Linked DNA regions of Danio rerio. The protein of the gene in region 1 interacts with the protein of each later gene in a biochemical or structural test. Links are inferred from orthologs where the notes say so. Each region holds a gene or a part of one and is shown in the gene's direction. Other genes may lie near its edges.

The links.
Region 2: the proteins of cysltr2b (region 1) and dlg3 interact in a test that uses a peptide from one of them, tested with the Homo sapiens proteins (2 studies listed by IntAct, with this or other methods). The link is inferred for Danio rerio from reciprocal best matches to the Homo sapiens genes CYSLTR2 and DLG3.

Annotation. Positions count from the first base shown.
Region 1 is NC_133190.1:3,203,651-3,207,868, reverse strand, and holds the start of cysltr2b (cysteinyl leukotriene receptor 2), read left to right. Parts: upstream 1-1,414; 5' UTR 1,415-1,687; intron 1,688-4,218. UniProt on the Homo sapiens protein: Receptor for cysteinyl leukotrienes. The response is mediated via a G-protein that activates a phosphatidylinositol-calcium second messenger system.
Region 2 is NC_133189.1:37,721,859-37,726,068, reverse strand, and holds the start of dlg3 (disks large homolog 3), read left to right. Parts: upstream 1-1,344; 5' UTR 1,345-1,569; coding exon 1,570-1,929; intron 1,930-4,210. UniProt on the Homo sapiens protein: Required for learning most likely through its role in synaptic plasticity following NMDA receptor signaling.

The DNA of each region.
Region 1 (4,218 bases):
AAGCAAACCCTACTTGTATTCAAACACTTTTTCCCCAACATAAACTTTCTTTGAATTAAAAAAAGATTAAATGTTTTTAAAAAGTTTTAACAACTATTATAAACTAAATAGCAGTCGCCTCACAGCAAGAAGGTCGCTGGTTCGAGCATCGGCTGGGTCAGTTGGTGTTTCTGTGTGGAGTTTGCATGCTCTCCCTGCGTTAGTGTGGGTTTCCTCCGGGTGTCTCCATTTTTTTACAAAGTCCAAAGACATGCGGTACAGGTGAATTGGGTAGGCTAAATTGTCTGTGGTGTATGAGTGTGTGAATGTGGATGTTTCTCACAGATGGGTTGGGGGTGGAATGGCATATGCTGGATAAGTTGGCGGTTCGTTCCGCTGTGGCGACCCCAGATTAATAAAGGGACTAAGCCAAAAAAAAAATGAATGAATGAATAAACTAAATATATACAACAATCTGTCCAGGTCGCTTTCCTCAGCAGTAAATAGATAGAGATCTTTTAAACGAATGTTATTGTTAGGAATATAATTAAACCGGTAAATAGAGTTAAAATTATATTCTATAAATAAAAAGTTTTATTGAGATGATTGTTGGTGATTGTATGGGTTTTGGCCAGATTTGGTAGCTATAAATGAACAAAGGAAAATTAAGACCGGTTTAAAAAAAGATTTAAGACCTAAAACACAATATTTCAGTTATTTTAAGACTTTTACGGCATAACATTTAAATTTTGAGATTAAAGACATTTAAAAACCAAGCAGAAACCCTGTTTAAAGCACTTTATCTTAAGTGAAAAGCCAATAAAAACACAATACAGGTGACATATTGAGGTATGGTTGGTTTTGTATTTCCACATTCGTTCAGTGACAACTTATATATTAAACGTACTTGTTTACCACGTTACTTTGAATATTGGGTCTGAATTCGCATGCAAAGTGACATTAAAATCACACTAGCATGGTGTACTTTCCTAGTCATTGGCTGCTAATGTGATTTATTTATAATACTAAATATTGTGTAAATATAATAACTTCATCTAAATACGTCAAGTTTTACTGAAATAACATAGCTGTCAAAGTTTAATTAGCTTAAATAAAACATTACAAACCAAACAACGTGTGACTAAACAAAGTCTGCGTTAATAGTAACGTTAGCTGTAAAACATCTAAGTACTTTTTAAACGCATTAATGAGTGCATGTGTAAACAAAGACGCGTTATTATTATTCAGCTGTTAGTTAGCTAACAAGCTAACTATCGTTTATTTTCATAACACCTCCACTGCTTGCAGAGACGAAAACAGTCCTCGAGTCTGCACGAAGCTCAAGCTAACATGTCAGATAACACCACCCGAATGTATACGAAAGTTGTTAAATTAACTAAACACAACTAAAGGTGTTTGAATGGGTAAAGCTGCTAGCTGATGTTAGCCGAGTGAGAATGACGTCACGGAGAAGTGTCAATCCGTCTCACGTCGAGTTTTACAAATAAAACTCTGAATGTTTACCTCGTGTTAAATGAATCGTCAAGGTCTTCATTCCTGTGGCAGATTAGGATGGAGATGGTGGAGTAAAGCGTCAATTCTGCATGTCTGCGAGTTGAGGTGGATGTTCAGTCCTCTCTCAGCTGGCAGTGTCTCATATGGGTGGATTTGAGCGACACAGGATTTCAAACTTCCCTTACAAGACATGGTGACTACAGCAAAACCACATATTAACTGCTAATATCGGTAACGTTATACTGTAAATACATGATACACTGGTTAATCCTTCACTTTAACCCTTACTTTTTGAACAGACATAAAAAATTACATGTTCAATAAAATTGTTTATTTACTGGAAAAAACAGCTTAAACCAGCCTAGACTTTTGCCACTTCCAGGCTGGTTTCCAGCCATTTCCAGCCTGGTCTTAGCTAGTCAGGCTGGGAGGTGACCAGCTAAAACCAGCTTATCCAGCCAAAACCAGCTATGTCCAACTTAAACCAGGCTGGTCAAGCTGGTTTTAGCTGGTTAAGGCTGGTCATTTTCCAGCCTGACCAACTAAGACCAGGCTGGAAATGGCTGGTAACCAGCCTGAAAGGGGCCAAAACCCCTCTAAAACCAGCCTGGTTGACCAGCTAAAACCAGCCTAACAGCACGTAGGGCTGAAGCTGACACTAGTGGATGCTCTGGAACTCTGGGGCTGAAGTCAACACTATGGGGCACCCTTGGTCTGAAACCAACATCGGGGGGGGGGGGGCTCTGGGCCTGAAGTGGATACTCAGGGGCCCTTTGAGGCTGAAGGCAACACTGGAGGGCACTCTGGGGCTGAAGCCAACACTGGGGGGCACTCTGGAACCAAAGCAGACACTGCATGAACTCTGAGGCTAAAGTCAACACTGGGGGGCACTCTGGAGCTAAAGCCAATAATGAGGGCTCTCTGAGGCTGAAGCCAACAATGAGGGCACTCTGGAGCTGAAGCCAACACTGGGGGCACTCTGGAGCTGAAGCCAACACCCTGGGGCACTCTGGGGCTGAAGCCAACACTGAAAGCACTCTGGAGCTAAAGTCAACACTTTGGGGCACTCTGGGGCTGAAGCCAACACTTAGGGCACTCTGGGACTGATGCCAACATTGAGGGCACTCTGGGGTTGAGGCCGACACTGAGGGCACTCTGATGGCTGAAGTCAACTCTGAGGGCACTCTGGGGCTGAAGCCAACACTAAGGGCACTCTGGGGCTAAAGCCAACACTGGGGAGCACTCTGGGGCTGAAGCCAACACTGAGGGCGCTCTGGGGTTGAAGCAGACACTGGGGAGCACTCTTGGGCTGAAGCCAAAACCGAGGGCACTCTGGAGCTGAGGTCAACACTGTGAGGCACTCTGGGGCTGAAGCCAGCACTAAGAGCACTCTGAGGCTGAAGCAGACACTGGGGGCACTCTGGGTTGAAGCCGACACTGAGGGTACTCAGGGACTGAAGCCAACACTGGTGGCACTCTGGGGCTAAAGCCAACACTGAGGGCACTCTGGGGCTAAAGCCAACACTGAGGGCACTCTGGGGCTGAAGCAGACACTGGGGGCACTCTGGGTTAAAGCCGACACTAAGGGCACTCAGGGACTGAAGCCAACACTGGTGGCACTCTGGGGCTAAAGCCAACACTGAGGGCACTCTGGGGCTAAAGCCAACACTGAGGGCACTCTGGGGCTAAAGCCAACACTGAGGGCACTCTGGGGCTGAAGCAGACACTGGGGGCACTCTGGGTTAAAGCCGACACTAAGGGCACTCAGAGACTGAAGCCAACACTAGTGGCACTCTGGGGCTAAAGCCAACACTGAGGGCACTCTGGGGCTAAAGCCAACACTGAGGGCACTCTGGGGCTAAAGCCAACACTGAGGGCACTCTGGGGCTGAAGCGGACACTGGGGGCACTCTGGGTTAAAGCCGACACTGAGGGCACTCAGGGACTGAAGCCAACACTGGTGGCACTCTGGGGCTAAAGCCAACACTGAGGGCACTCTGGGGCTAAAGCCAACACTGAGGGCACTCTGGGGCTAAAGCCAACACTGAGGGCACTCTGGGGCTGAAGCAGACACTGAGGGCACTCTGGGGCTAAAGCCAACACTGAGGGCACTCTGGGGCTGAAGCAGACACTGGGGGCACTCTGGGTTAAAGCCGATACTGAGGGCACTCAGGGACTGAAGCCAACCTCGGCGGGCACTCTAGGACTGACGTCGACATTGAGGGCACTCTGGGGTTGACGCAGACACTGGGGGGAACTCTTGAGCTGAAGCTGAAACTAGTTGCACTATAGGGCTATAGCCAACAACAGAGGGCCCTTCGGTACTGAAGGGTACACTGGGGGAGCGAGTGGTCACTGCTGACATTCTCAGGAGGCAGGTGCATAGTGAATCTGCCAGTATGTAAGGTGAAAAGCACACTGGCAGAACTCCACCATACATTTGACATCAGGTCAAATGTACCTCAAAATACTTTCATCTCCCACTGTGGTATACACTTGAGCCGAGCACTGCATTAAAGACTGGAGAATTAACAAGACCAAAACAAAAGAGTCCCGACAATCAGACCATCATACATTAAAACAATCACCATTTTCCTGAATCCCACACCTAGTACATCCAGAGAAACCGAGAATTTTCAAGTGGTTGATTTTTTTTGTTTCTCTCATAAAAGAAAACAACCTTCTTCAAATGAAACAACACATTCTTTATGAAAGATCAGTCTGT
Region 2 (4,210 bases), on another chromosome or scaffold:
ATGTACAGTACTTGCACATATTGGTCCATTCATTCAATACCTCAATTGTATTGTCATGAGCCACTAGTATTAATTTTGTTGGTCTGTGCTTTTTATTATAATTATTTTTCTTTATTAAGTCATTGGCATTTTATGAATCAAAAAAGAAAACTTGTTTCAGCTAAAAATTTTATTATTGTTTTATTGAAGAAAAATAAAGACATTTTAGATAGACTGAAGCTGGGTAATTTAACAGAAAATTGACATTTTCGGGTGTACTATCCCACATTATTACACACTACAAATATGAATGTTTATAACTGAATATAGCTGTTAGACAACTGGTTATTTCTTTGGAGTCAAATCTGTTTTTGTTTTTGATCTATGAAGTTTCATGGAGATTATAAACAAGCCATATGTATACTAGTTACTAATAGTAATATATATATATATATATATATATATATATATATATATATATATATATATATATATATATATATATATACATACACACAAACAGACACACACTAGTTAATACTCTTATAATGTAATTAGATTGAATAGATAGGTTTTCTGTCAGCCTCGTATGTTACACGTCTTCAGTATAAACCCTCAAGGCAGGTCTCCAATCGGGCTCTGTGTGCAGAGAGATTTTTTGGTGTGCTGGCCCTTTAAGAGCAGTCACTGAAGCAGTCAGCCCTGTGTTGGTGCTGCTGCTGATGGCTGTGCTGTGAGTTGATTGGCTGTGGCTGTCAGGGCTGAGGTGCTGGAGGGATGCTGCTACGCATCTCTCTCTCTCTCTCTCTCTCTCTCTCTCTCTCTATCCCTCCCTCTCTCCCTCGCTTGCTTGCATCCCTTCGTATAATCCACATCTAGGGCAAGCAGGCTGAGAGTCAATCCAGTGCTCAGCTTCTCTCTGCAGACTGGGAAAAGAGTGAGAGAAAGAAGGCAAGAAAACGCTTCCAGAAGCAGGAGGAAACGCAGAAGGAAGAAATCTGGCAAGCAGAGACTTTCAGAGGAAGACCTGATCACGGATATCGTTTATATATAGAAATTGTTTATATATATATCTATATATATTTGTACACACGCATATTGATATTTATAGAAATATATATGTATACATATATACCTGTATATAATTGTATTTGTGCTCGTCTGTTTATATTGATATTTTTATATGTACTTGTGTGTGTGTAAATATATACATATATAAACAAATGAATATATATATCTATGAATTTATATACATATCACTGTGAAGCAACAGAAGCAAGAAGAGAACTCGACCATCGGGGCTGGTCTCTGATTCCGAGATCATACACACTATTTTCAGCATTATTTTTCCAAGCCTTTTGCATCGACTGGAGGAAGACTACCAAGCTTTTTCTATTTTTCATCACCCTGTTGCTACCTCCTCATCTCTTTTTGTGGATCGCCAGGAACAAAGAGGAGGATAACAGGGTTTGTGAAGATTTCTGCCATTTGTGCTGCCGTTCTGCGCGCTGCGTTTGATCTGAGCAGGGAGCAGCAGCAGCAGTGAGATAGAAAGAGACAGAGAGCGCCGCACCGCGTGAACTAGCCAGCATGCACAAACATCACCACTGCTGCAAGTGCCCAGAATGCTATGAAGTGACCCGCATGGCCGCCCTGCGCAGGATGGACGCCCCAGCATATGGAGAATGGCAGCCCGAACCCTACGGATACCCGGCCGGCTATGGGGGTGGCCAGACCTTACCGCCCCAGACCTCGGGTGGAGGAGGGGGAATGGGTGGAGGGGGCACTTTGGGGAGAAGTAAAGGGAAAATGATGTCAGCTGGGGGTCCTGGAGGTCCCAACCCTAAGAGCCAATCCAAGGGCGGCCCCAAGGTGAATGGTAACAACTCAGGAGGGCAAGGAGGATGGTGGCCCGAGTGCACCTGTTCCAACCGGGACTGGTATGACCAGGTAAATGGCGTTTGGGGGCTGTTGGGGGCACTGAGAGTAGGCAGCAGGCGGTAGGCAGTTGGTGTATGTGGTCTCTAGCTTGAAACCAAGTAGAATCAGCCAGCTCCCTTAGGCTACTAAGCGATGCATCGCTTTTTTTAAGGGATTCATCCAGTGTTGATCCTTTCATACTGCATGTGCTGTAATCTTACAGTATGCTCGTCAAGATTGATTCTTGCAGAGGAGTTTAATCTTCATGTATTTAATGCTCCATCGCTGCTTTATGGTTTCATCAATCCCCTGTGTACATACTTATCTAAACCGTCATCTGACAAGGATTGACAGGGCCGCTGTGACCACGCAACAAGTGAATGTAGCTCCGCCAATTTAATCCAAGGATGGCAGTGACCCTGCCAACACTGCCGCTGACCAGGCGGAACACACGATCAAATCTAATTTCCAACGAGTAATGGATTATTATTTTAGATTCAGGAGGTGAAGATGTTGACAACGTGTGCATTTTCATGTTCCTTTTCAGCCTGTTGAGATACAGCCAGAAGCGAGACGTCGAGCGTTATGCACTGTTCGTCTATCTTTTCAGCTAGATTTTAACCTCATGTAGCAGAGCGTATTAAACTGAACCTGGAAACAGAAGCTGTAATTAAGTGAGGTGTGTGTGTGTGTGTGTGTAAGTGGCAGCAGGGGTGGGGGAAGGGTCGCTCTGAATGTATAAAATGGAGGAAGCAGGCTCTCATGTGAGAACGAGCCGCATGCATGCTCTGTGCCTTCAGTGTGCGTGCATGTCTACGGTGTGGGGGTGTGTGCGAGCGCACAGGTTTTTATTGGTAATTGTCCATGGCCGAGGGAGAGAGGATGCAGAGCGAGTGGCGGAGATGCAGAGAAAATGGAGGGTGAGATCTCGGTGGCAGCGAGGGTGAAATTTCACCAAGCGCAGGGAAGGAAGGCGTGAGCAAGGAGCTGACTAATTCTGCCTCCGTTCAGAGGATGGGAGAGGCATCAGTCAAAAGCAGTGCGGTTTTTCACTCATTCGCTTTTGTTTTAATCATGAATTATGCATGCCTTCTTGGCAGCATTTGCTGTAAACTGAACAAATGAACCCTTAAGATCTGACATTTCCTGTTTATTCTCAGTTTCTTCAGTAATTTCCCTCTTATTTTGATGTATGGCGTGCAGCAATGTGAAAATAAATCAAGCAAATATCTTCTCCTGAGCGCCGCACGCAATACCTGATAGGCACAAGCACTCCTAGGGCATATTGATGGAGTGTATGTTTAATTAATGAGAAGGAAATTGTTTAACAGAGGTATATAGGACAATGTCGCTATTAAAGATTCTCGTATGTGAGGAGGAGACCATGGATCATCTTGCTGGTTTCTCCTCCTCTGGTTAGGCTGTTGTCTGTCAAGATTATTAAAGAAGCTTTAGTTATCTTTGAAGGCCTCGTGGATGTGTGTCATTTGCGAAGGCTATCGCTTCTGAGGTACATTTGAATTGGAAGGCTGTGCAGTAAGTAAAATGGAAAAAAGCTGTTTGATTTTTGGCAATCATCACTACAGCACAAGATAGTGGTAATAATGTGAAAAACAGAGAAATCAGCCAATAAAGACAGGCGAGCTGAGGAAACAGAGTGGGTTACATAAGAGAAGGCAGTTGGTGGGGCTGCAAGAGGAGACGCTTTGAGAGAGAAGCCATGGATTTGTGAGCTAACGCTTGCCCACTGTTTTCTGGAAGGCCAGATTTAACTGCTTTTTAGTGCTTAGACTATAATTCCACAGTGATATCTGAAGGAAACATAATATTCATCTCAAGTGAAATCATGTAGAAGCTTCTTATTTGTTTTGTGGCAGATCTACAGATCTGTTTCCTTGCACTCTGTTATTGTGAGCAAATTGCATCACCCCTTCGATTTAGAGCTGTTTTTTACTTTAGTGGTTGAGTGTGTAGGTTTTACACCATTTAAACAGAAAAGGCTGTTTTTTTTACATGTTCTCTGAACCGAATAGGTAAATCCCATTGGTTGAGCTAACATAGCTTTAACAGTTAATGTGGAAAACACAGCTTTTTTAGTTTTCACATTTTAATCTATACATGTTAGAAGGTATTTACATGCAATATATATGTCCTCCTGTAAAGCAGCATACTCATTAGATTTAGAATCTGTTGTGGCATCCCATTTGATGTATTTCTGAGTGAAACTGGATTACTGAATGGGAAACAAATGTAGGTCAAGAGTTACTTTGTTCATTTATACCCAATTGTATTTATCTGTAGTTGGTTAGAT